Linked DNA regions of Rhinolophus ferrumequinum. The protein of the gene in region 1 interacts with the protein of each later gene in a pairwise test. Links are inferred from orthologs where the notes say so. Each region holds a gene or a part of one and is shown in the gene's direction. Other genes may lie near its edges.

Region 1 (7,968 bases):
TCCAAATAACACATAATCTAATCAAGGGTAACATAAGCCAAAACCAAATGGAAGAATGTTTACAAAATAACTTACCAATAGTGTTCCAAAGCATCCAGGTCATGAAAGACAAGGAAAGACGGAGGAACTGTCATGGAATGAAGGAGATTAAGGAGACACAACTAAGTGCAGGGTGGAACCCTAGATTTGACTCTGGAAGAGAAATGGAGTAAAACACAAATTAGTTTTGTAGCTTAGTTATAACTATATCCAAGTTAATTTTCTAGTTTTGAAAATTATTCTGTGGTTAAACATAATAGGAAACTGAGTGAAGAGTTTATGGGCACTTTCTGTACTGTTTTTCCAGTTCTTTTGTAACTAAAATTATCTCAAAACAAATATGCATTCCTGATTACTAATGAGGCTGAGCATAATTTCAAATGTTTATTTCCCTGTACAGGTTTTTTTTTTTTAAATATAGACATTTAAGTCATTCTGCCTTTTTTCCTTTTCCTTTTTCTTACCGATACATATTAATATATATTCATGATATTAATATGTTGTCAGTTTTATATGTTGCAAATATATATTCTGGTCTATTGATTTTTTTTTTTAATTTTATTGGGGAATATTGGGGGGGAACAGTGTGTTTCTCCAGGGCCCATCAGCTCCAAGTCGTTGTCCTTCAATCTAGTCGTGGAGGGCGCAGCTCAGCTCCAAGTCCAGTAACCGTTTTCAATCTTTAGTTGTAGGGGGCGCAGCCCACCATCCCATGCGGGAATTGAACTGGCAACCTTGTTGTTGAGAGCCCACACTCTAACCAACTGAGTCATCCAGCCACCCCTAGTCTATTGATTCTTAAAATATTTTTATGCTGCCTCTTAATAAATGGAATTTTAAAAATATAGTCAAATTTATTACTAAAAGGAAAGAGATTCAGAAGAGTTGGACTTTGTGAAGAAGTTTTAGGAATATCTTAACGAATTAACTTTGCTTATTTTTTTTTTTTTTACTTTATATACACATGAGTGTGACACATGATAAAAAAAAATCTAGGTCTAAATAAGTTTAAAAGAGCTCTTAATATAAAAATTCTAAGTAATAAAAACTATTATGTCAGTGAAAATGGCAACATATTTTCTCCTGGCTGGTGCATCAATAATGTATCATGAATCAATAGTGCCCTAGATTTAATTATATAAGTGTAATTCATTCATTCAACGACTATTTATTAAGTACTTACTATTATGTCAGTCACGGACCTAGGTTTAGGGGATACAATGATGAACCAGAGAACTGAAGCTTACACTAATAGGAAGAAAGGCAACAATTAAATTCATTCATGTGTTAATTTTCAGTAGCAATATGTGTTACAAAGGCAATAAAACTAATGTTAAGCAAAGTAATGGTAATGGGTACTTTTACTTTAGAAAAGATCTTTGTGAGTTGGTAATATTTGAGCTGAAACCTGAAATGCTGAGAAAATGCTAATTATATGATGATTTGGGGAAAGAAAATTCCAGGCAGAGGCATTAGTAAATGCAAGCGTTCTGAAGAAGGAACAAATTTGCAATGTTGGAGGAACCAAAATGGCAGTGGAACTGAATTACAGTGAACCAAGGGGTTAGAGACTTGGTGAAGACTACGTCATTTCCAGCCTTGTAGGTCATGGCAAGAGTTGAGATTTTATTCCAAGTACAATTGGTTTTCATCAAAATCTAATTTAAGTTTAATTAAAAATATTCTTTTGCTTCACCCTTCCCTCCGGCTGTTTCCCAGAGCTAAAATGTTATGGTGATTACTTTTAGTGCAGCAGCTTAGCATATCCACATAATTCTTCCATTACGTGCAATGTTGACATTTTAAAGGGAAGCATTATACAAAACTTCTCCATTATTCTTATTTAAATTCTAACATTTTATTACATAATTGTTATTCTTATTTATTTATATAATGTACTTTCACTGGGGGACTGTTAACGAATAAAAAGTTTTGGATTGTAGAGGTCTAGAACTAAATCTTATATACATTATTTTGTTAATAATTATTCTTTATGAAAGTTTTTGCTTTAAATTGTTTTCCTGTCCTGAAATCTTGAATGTGGTCACTTTACCATCCACTATTACGATAATTTTATAAAAGAAGTTCCCTTTAACTTCCCTAAACAGGAAGGACATAATGTCAGAATAAAAAGTCCTCAAAATCTTGAATAAATGTAGCCTTCTTTTTAAAAAAATCTGTACATTGACCTAATTATTCTCATTTCAGAGAACTGACAAAAAAATCACATGCATCACTGCTCAGGAAAACCTTATAAATGTGTAAAGGATGCTTACCTATGATTCTCAAATACAGAGGGTGCCAAAAAAAATGTATACACATTTTAAGAAAGGAAAACTGTATTAAAATTGTAATACTCAATATATACCGATAATTCATCAAAAGATGAATACAAGTCACGTTTGACTTCTGCAATTACAATAGGTGCTCAAAGTGGTTACCATCAGCGTCCAGACACTTCTGAGCTTCGTTGACCAAAGAGTCCACTGTATACATTTTTTTGGCACTCCCGTAGATGCCAGAAAAATGTGGTTATTGATCATTCTAGAGGAAAAAAACAATCAACTTTTCTGAAGTTTCTCAGAGAAGAAAAATTATAATGATAAAAAAACAAAAATAATACATGCAATTTTTGTTCTCATGGTGATTTCTTAATAGACTAAATATCTTCCCCAAATCCATGACTACCCTGTTGCATAGGAGCTGGTTCCCCAAGTGACTTCACAAATGTCTGCCTTACTTAACTTCAGTTTTTTTTTAAAAAAGTAAAAAGATAACTTTTTTTGTTTTTTAATTTGATTTCAAAATTAATCTGAAAAAAATTAAAATGTAGTGATCTGAAAATGAAACCTACCTCTAATTATGGGTAGCATTTGTAGAAATAAATCATTTAAACTAATGATTTAAATCATTACTCCATCATTTACTTTCTTTGGTGCATTCATTGGAAGCTAAAATGTATCCTTCTGGGTTTATATGTATGTATCTGCATTTTGTGTCAAATGTAAATTGATACAAATTATGGATGGGGAGGAATTTAAAGGAAGTTGAAACATATTCAGAATGAGGAGGATAAAGGAAGTTGACACAAATTCAGAATGAAACATTCAGATTGAGGATGGTTATATGGTTTAAGGTCTTTAGGAGCTACATGTAATGGCAGAAATCCAGACTTTATTCTTTCTTATTAAAAGGAATTGTATTTACAGAATTTAGTGAGACCATTATTTTTTACATTTCCCATTGCTGTGATATTTGAGAATGTGTGCTCTTAGACCTAATTCCACTTTTAGCCCAGCTTCGTATGACCTTGTTTCTAGAGCAAGAGCCCCAGGCAGTTTCTCTGGAACATTTGATTAGAATATCCAGGCTAGATCTATTGCTGGGAAGGAGAGATCTCAATTTAAAAATTGGACAAAGGAAACAAAACCGCTGGTTTGATAGGTTTATGTTTTGTACTCCCCCAACAGTACATTCCAATTTTTAACAACTTACTCTGATGTTCAGTGCCATTCATTCAACAAGCTTTGGAGAGCTATCTATGCCCGGCACTGTCAGGAATCAGGGATGCAAAGATGAAGGTCACAGGTCTTGTCCTAAAGTATCATTAGCTGATATAAACTAATAATTACAAGACAGCTATGAAAGCATTGAAAGTGACGCAAATGTCTTAAAGGAAAGCGTGGCAAAGAACAAAGAGGCAGCTTGGAGGTAGTATGGCAACTGAGGTGGAGAGAAAATCTTGGAACATCAGAAGTAGGATACCGCCTCCTCTCAGAATTCAAGATGATTTGCTTGGAATTAAAGGTTATATACTCGTAACACTGTGCACCTTTCCTTCATTACACTGTCTTCAAAGTGTATGTTTAGATTTGTTTTTGTGATTAATGATGTTAGACTGAAAGTTCCTTGAAGACAGAACCATGTCCGTTTATCTTTACTATCGTGTACACGCCAGTGATGACACACACGAGATGCTGAAAAAACGTGTTGAAAGCCAAAATACAATGAGTGGGTAGGAGAATTCTCAAAAGCGTGGCTGGTCATTGTGTTTATCCAATACTGTCAAGTGAGAGAGCCACAGAATCTACGATAAGCATTCCTCTCACCAGAAGGGACTGCTCTATTGTTTGCCAAGGGATAATTCATTGAACTTTTCTGCTTGCTTTTACACCGTTGGATGAATTATCCATTTGCCCTGATTTCAACTTTTCTGCTACTGATTCGGCCTATTTGATTGCCTGACACCCTGCGAATTATCTTCTGATAACCAGAAAGGTCAGTTAAAGGTTTTTCGGAGCGGGGGGCGGGGGGAGGTTAATGCTGTCTTGCTCACACTCTTGTCCGTTGCAAGCAATATAGTTTTTGGGAGACAAAGATCACAATTAAGACTTCCAAATTACCTTGCTGAAAACCTGACTTACCAATGAAAATTCCAGCCTAACGTAACAGACAAGAGAAAAAACTTGCGCTGTGAGGAAAAACTGGGGTTTGGGGATTCCTGTAATATCGCCGGGAAGAGAGAAATCCTTTATATGACATTCCTGGATATGCCCTTCAAATTGTTCCGCCCTCAAGGTTTACCCTGGTTTAGCAAAGCACATTCAGGTTTGCAAAGATCAGAGACGCCGAAAGTCACCCGACACCTCGCCCCTGGCGTCCCAGCGGAGTCAGTAAACACCAAGATTGCTTCCAGCAGCTGATGGACAAGAGAACGTAGTGGAAACGTAGCCACCATCTTGGTTATGGTTAAGCTCAGCGCACTAGTAAGCGTCACTCGGCCCTCATGCGCAAGCGTATTGGGAATACGCTCCCCTCCCCTTCCTGTGCACGCGCTCGGTGCCCGCAACTCTCGCGAGAGAAGCGAGATTTATTCCTACGTACCGGGCCGTGCTGCTTATGGCGGCGCTGGAGAGGGGGCGCTGAGCTGTTGGGGTGAGTACGATCTCAGGGTCCATTTGGGGGTAGTAACAAGCCAGGCTAAGGGCAGAAGAGAAGGCCAAGACTAACGGGAGAGACTTCTGAGTCAAGTTAGGCACTCCTAGAGCTCCGGGAAGGGAAAATTTCACCCTGAGTCCCTACCCCGGCCTTTCCCACCCGGCCCCGGTTCAGCTGTCTAGACCTCACGTCAGGCCGCAGAGCCGAACCGAAGAGTCGAGGCCAGGCGGCCGCGCGTGGTGGCGGTGGTGGTGACTGAAGGGGGGGAGGGAGCGAAAATGGAGGCTCCGACCGCAGCCAAGATGGAGGCAGGGGTGCGGGGCTCGGGCGCGGAGGCTGCTGGGAGTTGTAGTCTGGCCGCTTCCCCTTCTGCGGCTTGGCAGGGTAAACGGGAACTACAAGTCCCGGCGGGCGGGGGGAGGGGGTGGTGGCGCGGTCCTTTGTGTGAGGCTGGAAGAGCCGGAGGCAGAGGAGAGGGGCCTACTCTGACTGGACCCTATAGTTTCCTAGCTGTCACCTGCTTAGGGATCTGACTACGAGTACCAGAGCGCAGTGCGGCAGTGGCGCTTCCTTTGTGTATAGACTGAGACCCCGCTTTCTCTAAGTGCTTAGAGACACCTCTTTTCCCCAGCCCCATCTGGCAGAGTATCGCGGCGGAATTGTCATCCTTATTTCCAGTCACCTAGAGCTGTGTATCTTGGGTCTCTACACCCTACCTTCCCCTTTATGCTTCTCCTTTGGCTTCTTGAGAAAGGGAACCAGCCCCTAATCTTAGGTACGTGGCTCTCACCCCTCTATCCCGGGGTTAGGGCGTGCTTTGTGAGAGCTTAGTGGAGTCTTCCTCACCACCTTTCCTGGCTCTTAATAGTGCAAGAACCCGGCCTACATTGTGCAATGAATGGTTTGGCTTTGTCATTCTATTTAGAGTTAGCTTTTTAGAGCCCTGGTCGGAGACACTTCTTAGGTTTTTAACCATCCGATGTTTTATCAGTACGAAATCTCAGTGCCACGGTTCTTTTGCTTTAAGGTTTTCCTTTAGAAACACGCAGATGGCTCCTCTCGTTTGACTCAAGTGAGGCAGGGAATGCTCCATAAAACAGCCTTCAAACTGCAAACACAAAAATCTGAACGTTGTTGTTCGAGGTAATTTCCTTGTTTTGCACCTAAAGTGAGTGAAAGAATGTGGTCCTCTTTAAACAGCTGGGAGACAGGGTGGAGGGGGAGGGTGGGCGCCCAAAGACTGGTAGTTAAATCTGTCTCCTTTGGGAGAAAGGTTTTTATCAGGACGATGGGAACTGGCAGCTCTGGCCTAGAGCTACCGGTCTATAAAATGAAGGTACCAAATTCTAACTCACTAAGATAAGTTATGGGTCAAAACGCTGAGTGATTTCATTTTGAGTTTCTAGAAGGCAAACATTCTCAATACTACATTAAAAGGTAATATAATATGTTGGTGTCCTTTTGGTACTAACCTGTAATGGGTATTCTTGGTGTGGGTAAGGAGGCATGTGCCTGAGTAATAAAATCTAGATAAATATTCAACCTGTTTTTGTTTCCTTTTAGCCCTAGGCCCAAAATAAAAGAGGTGGTGGTGGTATGAGTGATTTTGCAGCTGCTCTGGATGTTTACCATCGAGATGAGTATTTATAGCAGCTGAGTTGAAAAGTAAAGTATTTGAGGCACAGAAGATAGGTTTTCTTTTTTTGTAAATAAGTTCTGGCTTAACAAATACGACCTTTAGAATATGGTTGAAAATTGTAAATTCCTAGCAGATCAAAAAAGAGTGTAAAAGCTAACATGTAGTCCTGCTTTATCCCACTCCTGTCTTACGCTCCCTTTATCTAAAGACATATGGTACAGGGCCATCCAACATTTAAAACAATATAGTTCTTTTAAACTGGTAAAATATAGCAATTTACCATTTTAACGGTTTTTAAAAGTGTATAGTTAAATGGCATTAAGTTCATTCATATTGTTGTAAAGAACATGCTTTTGATGAGGTAGTTGAAACAAATGCTATTTGGACAGATGTTTAAGGAGTTGAATTTTAGGACTGTATCACAAAATCAAATCTTGAGATCTTGTTAAATGAACAATTGATTTTCCTTTTCAGCTTTGTTTTTTTCAAAAAACAAAGGGGAAATTACTTTGAGAGCTTTGAACCAAATTGTCTTATGGAGAGCTGTAAAATTTGTAGGATTTTTCATAATAAAGAATTACAGCTAGAAGAATTGTAACTATACTTTTTTAAGGCTTCATACTTGAATGTCTTCAGTAGTGATACTGCTGTGGTGGGAGTGACTTGTTTTCTTGAATCCCATTATTTCTTTTAAATCATTTCTGTCAAATCGGGATTTATAAATTCCTGATATTAGAATTTTTGATGTGAGAATGTTTCCTACTTGCATGTGTAACTACTTAAAAAACAAAATAATACAAAACTTTCCTTTTAGTTCATACTGCCAAGCCTGAGGAATTCTATTGTACATTTTTCATTATGGGTATTACAAACTGAGTGTGATATTCTAGGCAGTAGTCTATTCAGAAATACTGAATAGTAACTTTATTTTTCGAGCATTTTTATAATTAACATATCCTTTTATTCTGATGTAAAATAGTGTGCGTAGTTGAAAGTAAATTGATCTTCACGTTGAATGTGTGAGCTATCCATTGGTTTGCAGCTACAGCTAGTACATAACCAGTTATTTGTACTACTGTTTTTTAAGTGTACTAAGTACAAACTTCTGCTATGGTCATATTTGTTAGATACTGCCTACCTTTGTATCAGTGAAAGTCTTTGCCCCAGGGCCTTACATTTACTTTTGCTTTATTAGGCATGTCAGTGCCTTTTTCCTTCATCAGTCTATACCTGCTCTGACCAGTACGGTAGCCACTAGCCATGTGTGGCTATTGTGCACTTGAACTGTGCGCAATTCTGAATTGAAATGTGCTGTAATTGTAAGATAAACATTGGATTTCAAGAACTGTAAA
Region 2 (7,413 bases), on another chromosome or scaffold:
GAAACGGTTGGTGAAATGTGTTGTTCTTACTGACTGATGTGGACAACCAAAGTAACTCCATCTTCTATGACCCTCCAGGAGTTATCTTCACTCATTCATCCAATAAATAATCGCTGTGTGCTAGGCTGGTGCTAGGTGCTGGGGATGCCGGGAACATGTTTGGGGAATAACATCATCAGGATATGGTGATGGATTGGATATGGGGGTGACAAGAGACATCCCACTTGTGATTGCCTCAGTTCAACCCTAATCATCTCTCACCTTGTCACCCAGCTGGATTCCCTGTGTTCAGGTCACTTCATCTTTCCTGCAGCAGCCAGAATGACTTTGCTAAGACATAGCTTCAAAGGCTCCTTATTGCTCATAGAATAAGGTAAAAGCCCCTGCACAGGATGGATGCAGTCAGTCCTTTATGCTCTGGTCCTGGTGTGCCTCTCAAGCTTTATCTCTTGTCACTCTGCATTTCACCCCAACTAGGTGTTTCCATTCCCTAGTCTTATCACACTCTCTACACTTCCGGTCTGTCCTTCCACTCGCTCCAACCGCCTGGAGGTGGGACATGTTCCATTTGCCCTTTTAGATCTCTTTTCATCATCTCCATCTGCTCCAAGCCCTGGAGGCTGAAGCTTTTGTGGGCTGCAAGCATGTGTCCCTTGCTCTCTTGATGTCTGTGGGTCCACTGATGGGAAGTACCAGTTGGAAATCAGGGGACAGGAGAAGAGTGAAGGTGGAGTATCTATCCAATAGCACCCTACCTTCCAGACCCTGGGAGGCCACCGCTCCTGTCTGCCCTCTCCTACAGCTGGGCTCTCCTCCTCTGGGTTTTGGCAATCATTCTGCACCTTGCCCCTTCAAGCTGAAGGATGGCCGAGGCTCCCCACTGCTTCTGGCCCCAGAGTCCTTCACAGCCCTTGTTGGTTTCCCTCACCTTGTAAATCACCTCTAGATTAAATTCTCTTTGCTTACTCCTCTAAGCGTTCCATCCGTTTCCTGTTGAGACCCTAACTGATACTCTTAGTCATCCTCCAAACCTCAGCCCAACCTCTCCTTCTGTCGAGTCTTTCCTCACCTGTTCCCACCAGGTCTCAGGGCTCTGGACAGACTCCCACTCTTGACCCCATAACTCTCTATTACTTGTATTGTTGCCTTGTGTGTCTCCCTCTCTCTCGGTCGTGGGAATTTATCTTTGCCGCTCAGGCCCTGGCACATTGCAAGGTACCTGGCACTTAGTAGGTACTGAGTCAATGTTTGTTGCGTGATTGATGGTTCCATTCAGAAAACAAAGGCTCCAGGGAGGGCTGTGAGAGCCATGGAATGGTGACTCTTCCTTTCTGTTGGGCATAAAAGGAGGACAGGGCATGTTTTCCATCGGGGAAATCCTAGCTAAGAACCTACTAAGGAATCATCAAATTAATAATGGTAATTTCTTTAAACTTTCAAAAGCTCTCTTTTACTACTAATATTTTTTTCTGTATACATCCAGTCTTTTTTCTCAAAACTTTTCACTACAAAAGTTTTCAAACATGCACAAAAGTAGAGAGACTAGTAAGTGAATCTCCACGTACCCAACCCAGATTCAACAATCACCAAGATTCTGCCACATTTGCTTCATCTCCCCCATTGTTCTTTGCTTTGTTTTTTTTGCTGCAATATTTTACAGCAAATCCTAGTTATTAAGCCATCTTCTCTCTACACACTTCAATATGCCTCATTAAAAAATAACCAACAGCATTTCAAAAACATGATCGCTGATGGAATTAGGGAGGGTGGTACGTTTAACTTGGAGACAGTAAACAAATGGTGGGGATAAACGGGTATTTTTCCACTTAGATGTGTTAGCAGTCACGTGCCTGAAGGCAATGTTAACATTTCTCCCTCATGCTATGAGGGCAAGAGTGCACAGGGATCCTGTAAATTTTTCTGGATAGAGACACTAAGATTTTTCTGAGAAGCAGGATGCCCAGTGAATGGGAGAAGACCCCCTGAGGTTGGATGAGGATAAATGGACTCATTTGAATCTATCCCATGAAAACTGATGGGACAAGCGAGGTCCATGAGTTACCAGTAATATTTCGGTGGCACTTGAAGTCCCTGGTTGCAAACCACAGAAACGGCTCTGAGTGCTGGGCGAGACCAAAGGGCTCGCAATTACTTCCCTGAAATGGCGAGTTAGCACCTGCTCTGGGTTTCTGTTCTTTTAAAGTCAACTTTATGGAGGTATAATTTATATACAGTAAAATGTACCCCTTTAAGGTGGTTATGTGAATTCTGACAAACATATACAGTCCTGGAACCACCACTACCACCACCACCACCACAATCAAACAGAATGTTTTCATCACCACCCTCTCCCCCAGATTTCCTCATACCCTTTGGTAGTCAATCCCCTTATCCTGCTCCCAGTCTATGGCAATGATGTATCTTTTCCAATGTTTTGCCTTTTCTGGAATGTCATATAGGTGATATAATACAGTGGCCTTCTGTGTCTGGCCCAATGCTTTGGAGATCATGCACATTGTTCCTGCATGTGCTAGCAGCTTGTTCCTTTCTGTTGCTGACTACTAGTCCTTGTGTATGGATGAACCACAATCTGCTTATTCACCAGATCATGGGCATTTGGGTTATTTCCAATTTGGGGTGATTATGAATGAAATTGCTGTAACAATTACACAGGCTTTTTGTCTTCATTTCTTGTCTTCAAATACCACCAGTGAATTACTGAGTCATATAGTAATTGTATATTTAACTTGTTGGTTTTTAACCCATTCTAATAGGTATATAATTGTTATCGTGTTGTGGTTTCCATTTGTATCTCCCTAAAGACTAAGATTCAGAATTTTTAACATCACTCTGGGCTGGAACAGGGCTGGGTGATTTGTAAAGTGGACTGAAATTTTCTTTTTAAACACCAAATAAAGGTACCCTTCATTATCTCGAAGTGATTAGAAAAGCCATTGAGCCTGCCCAGGATTTCATCCAGGGCAGGGAAAACACACCTCTGCAGCAAGGACAGAGCTATCCTGTCCAGTCTGCTCACTGGGTGACATGGTGATAACCTGTCCCCCTCCTCCCAACCTCCACACCTGTCCTACCCTGCCTTTGTGTCACTTTTTTTGCAGCCTAATAGTGCATCCCTCATTTTTCACCCGTGGAATTCCTCTTTAAGCTAAGTGTCACCTCCTTTTGAAGCATCTAGGATTTCCAGAAGCTTCCAGACATAGCATGCAAGATGACGTTGTGGAAAAGTGCAGCCTTTTTTGGGGCCAGAGTTAAATAGGCTTTTTTGGCTTTGTTCCTTACTAGTTGTGCAACTTTGGGCAAGTAACTGAAATGCTTTGAGCCTTTGTTTCCCCAAGTGTAAAATGTGGATAATACCTACCTTAGAGGTAGGTTTTTGTTGTTAGAGATATTGTCGTCACATTATATTATTTTTATTATTATTGTTAATCTGCCTTTATCAAAGCCTCACTGGGTTGAACCATGGCTGATTACTTTCTTGATTCTCTCCCTAGCTAACGGCTCATAAAAGGCAGATACTGTGATTTCAGCCCCTATGCCCCTGTGCCTGACACAATGTTGCTAAATGTCAATCCCTCAACACATTTGTTGAAATTGATGGACCTAAAAGGATTTTCATGGAAGGCAGGCATCCAGAAAGGAGTTGTGGGACCCGGAAGGACCTCCCGCCGTCATCAGGCCGGGAGCTGCTTTCCTGGAGCAGGGGCACTAAGTCAGCTTCCCTTCCGCAGAGCGAATGGCTGAGCCAGGGGCTGTCTGGACATGTGGGTTTGACAGGTCAGAAAAAGGGGAACCAAGAGAGCAGATGCTCAGGGAAAAAAAGAAAAAGTTGGACAGGGATTGACGAGGAAGAAACCCAAGGGAATGGGCTGGCTGAGAAAGTGTGGACCCAGTGATGGCGTGGGGACCAATGGTGAGGATGGGGGCGGGGACGGAAGGCTGGGCGGGTTGTGGGCCCTGGGGCTGGATGGAAATGGGGGAGTGGAGCAGGGACAACGCTAGGACGCTGAAGGAAGGGCGCAGAGGCACTGGGTCAGGATGAGAAGGGCGTGCGGCAGCTTTGGGTCGGAAGGGCAGAATCTGTGGGCCAGGAGTGGACCATGAGGAACGCGGCAGGTGTCGGGAGGGCGGAGCCTGACGGGGCGGAGCCAAGAAGGGGCGGGGCCGGCGCCGGGCTAGCGGGCGGGGTGTGCGGCTCTGCTCCTGCGAGAGCAGCGGGGGCCGCGGAGCTGGAGCTGGATCCCAAACCCAGGCCGGGGCGGGAGTCGGGGTCGGGGCCCGGCCGGAACGGGCTCCAACGGTATGGGGTCGGCCGACTCCAAGCTGAATTTCCGAAAGGCGGTGATCCAGCTCACCACCAAGACGCAGGTGCGCCCGGGGCCCCAGCCTCCCCACCCACCTGCAGGGCTGGTTGCTGGGCAGGGCCGGGGGCAGGGGGTGGTGCGCGAACTTGGCTTGCCCTGAAATGGGGGGACCGGCTTGCCTGTAGGGTGACACTGAGGCCAGGGCCGGAGCCGAATCCCTTGGCCTGTGCCCCAGGCTCCATCCCGAGCCCTAGCCTCCCCATCTCCAGCCTCCTCTCTCGGGAACATCCTCCCCGCAGCCGCTGCTGCCACCTTAGGCTGACGTGTGCCTACTTCCCGAGCCGGCGCCGCCGCTGTCCGCCCCCTGTCCCTCCCCCACCCCCTCCGCCCCTCCAGCCCTGCATCTCTAGCCTCTCCTCGTCTCCACCCACCCATTAGCCTCCCTCATCCTCTCCTGCCCGTTGGTGCCCGCGGGTCCCGGACTCACAGACCCGGCTGACTCAACGCAAACAAAGCCCGGCCCGCGCCCTCCCGGGTCGGAGAAACAGCTGGTGCGCGGCGGCAGGGGCCTCGCTGGGCCCAGGTCGATGCCCACAGCTAGGAAGGCCCAGGTCTGCCTGGGGACGTGCAAAGAGTAGCGGGCAGTGCGGCAGCCTGGCAACGGAACCTGTTCCCAGGCCTGTGGGGTCCAGTCTCCCAGCTGGGACTCCCGCTGCAGGGGGCTTCTTCTCTGAGGCCCAGCGGTGGGGACGGCTGTGCTTGCAGTACCCTCCGTTGTCTGGGTCAGGGCCGAGAAACCTCCAGATTGCCCTTGGCCTGCTGAGTGGGGCCTGGGATCTTGCAGCATAGTCCATGCTGCACGTTCCGGAGTCTACACGTGGCACAGAGGCCATCTCCTTGGCCCCAACAAGCAGGACCTGGCCTCAGCAAGGCTGCTTCCTTGCCCACCCCTTCTCTCCTCCCCCCTTGAACTAAGTCTATGCCCTGACTTTCCAGATCCCCCACTTTCAAGGGAGCCAGGACATGCTGCTCTGCTGCCATCCAGGACTTGCCTCTTACCTCCACTCCCACTCCCATGCTGCGGCTCCCCGGGCTCTCTCTTGCTCCTGGCAGTTAGAGTGGGATCAAGGGAACCGTTTCCCCACAGCCAGCTGGTCTCCAGAGGCCAGACTGCTGGTCCCACCCTCTCTCATTCCCATGAGAGAAAGGTCAGGAGCCAGCAAGTGCCCAGGGCCTCTGGAGTCCAGCTCCAGCTGAAAGGCATTTGAGAGAAATCAGACCTTACTTCTCACCGTTTCCCCCATGGCTCCTGGTTAGTTCTGACATGGAATGGGGCTTCTCGGTCTGTGGGGGGCAGGTGGGCCAGCCCTTCGATGTGGGGCCACAGAAGGGGAGGGAGGGAGGCTCCTGTGTTTACCTACTTTCAGAGGGAAACACCTTGTTGGAGAAATAAACTACAGGGTTTGGCTCAGCTGCCAGGGTCCTTTGTTGGGCCAGCAGGACCAGCTCAGCTAGGTCCCAGAGGATCTGGGTGGACTAGATTCCTACCTGCTCCAGTCCCTCTCCCCCAAATACCGTGATGGAGCTGACTGTGGTGGTGCTGTCCAGTTTCCCTGAGGAGCCTGATTACAGTGAGTTGGCTTAGAACAGGGTCTGAGCCAGAGACCAGCCTGAGCCTCCTTCCAGGGAGCTCTGGGACCTTGCAGGTGGGAGGGGCCCTGGGCCACATGGAGGGAAAGAACCCCAGGGCCTGAAGCCTCGGGCCCTGTGTAGTAACCTGGCTTGGACAGTTTGGGAGTAAGGAGCAGATCCCAGGTGATCATTGCAGACTTTGCCACTCAGTGGCCCCCAGGAGATTCCGGGCGTCCTCAGTCCCAGGTCCTCAGAGGCTGTGCTGTGAACACGGAGTTTTAGTTTTGCTCTGAGCAGCAGACAAGCTGACCCAGCTCCTTTGCCATGGCCTGGGCCCGAGCTGTCTCTGCTGGGCCTTCCCGACCTTCCTGCACTGCATCCTGTTTTCTTCCTGCCCTGGGCTGGGCCTGACCTTGGTCCTGAGGGCCAGCAGATTGGGCTGTGTTTCCTGAGCCTTTCCCAGGTGGGTGGGGCCCTGGAGGAGGCACATTCATGGACCTGAGACCCTCTTTTAGAGCCTGGCTGTTTGGAGGTTCTCTGCCATCAGCCAGATGAGACTTGGTAGGTCCATGTTTACATGTGTGTGCATGTATGTGTGTATGAATACCATGGTCACAGTCCTGCTGTGGTAACACAGTCTTCCAGAACAGGTCACCTTTAGCAGGCTGGAGCACTGCTGGTCCTTCCCTCCTCTCCCCAGAGAGGTTCAAAAGGTGCAGCTGGTCCCCCAGGCCTGTGGGGGGGTCTGGCCTGAGCAGGTCCTGACAGCTAGGGTAGGAATACCGGGTTTCCCACCAGGGTAGCTCAGTGTCTGTGGAGACCAGCCCACCTCCAGCAAAAATACTTTTGAAGAAACTGGCTCAGATTTTAGAGCTTCCTTGGGTTGGATGGAGCCCAGCTGGGGTAACTGAAGCAGGAGCTAAGCCACGTCCTGCCCCTCAGAAGCCTAAGAGGCCCCCGTGATCCTGGCCAATACCTGTAGCATCAGGCTAACCTGATATGGTCAGGTAATGGTCACCAAATTGAAGTGTCCAAGCCACAGCGGGACCAGGAGAGGAGGCCCATTTGGCGGAAGTGAAAGTCTCTTGAAGTTCAAGGCCAGCTCCCATAGCTGGGACTTTCCTTAGTTTCCAGGCTGGGCTACCCTGGGGACACTTGCCTGACGACTTAGGTCAGAGGTGAGTCCACTTTGTGCTCTAATGAGTTTTAGCCCCTTTAAGGGGGTAACGGCTACCTGGGAGGTGGGGAAAGTATAGAGATAGGGGCTCCCAGAGGCGCTCCCAGATTGGGGTGCGGACTCTGCATGTTTTTGGGGATGTCCTTCTCCACCCCCCCAGCCACCCACACTGGGATATGATACCCTTGGACCCCAGTGAGTGTCAGAAGCTGTCCTGGCTAAGGGCTTGAGGGCCAGCAAACCCCAGCCCAGGCCCCTCCTTTGGCCTTGTTCCTCTCCCCC

What was found.
Region 2: the proteins of CSDE1 (region 1) and HID1 interact in binary tests that used the Homo sapiens proteins (3 or more experiments, as listed by UniProt). The two-hybrid records come from large-scale screens. The link is inferred for Rhinolophus ferrumequinum from reciprocal best matches to the Homo sapiens genes CSDE1 and HID1.

The regions. Positions count from the first base shown.
Region 1 is NC_046305.1:45,431,859-45,439,826, reverse strand, and holds the start of CSDE1 (cold shock domain-containing protein E1), read left to right. Parts: upstream 1-4,849; 5' UTR 4,850-4,974; intron 4,975-6,007; exon of another isoform or gene 6,008-6,120; intron 6,121-7,968. UniProt on the Homo sapiens protein: RNA-binding protein involved in translationally coupled mRNA turnover.
Region 2 is NC_046304.1:50,083,854-50,091,266, reverse strand, and holds the start of HID1 (protein HID1), read left to right. Parts: upstream 1-4,188; 5' UTR 4,189-4,320; coding exon 4,321-4,386; intron 4,387-7,413. UniProt on the Homo sapiens protein: May play an important role in the development of cancers in a broad range of tissues.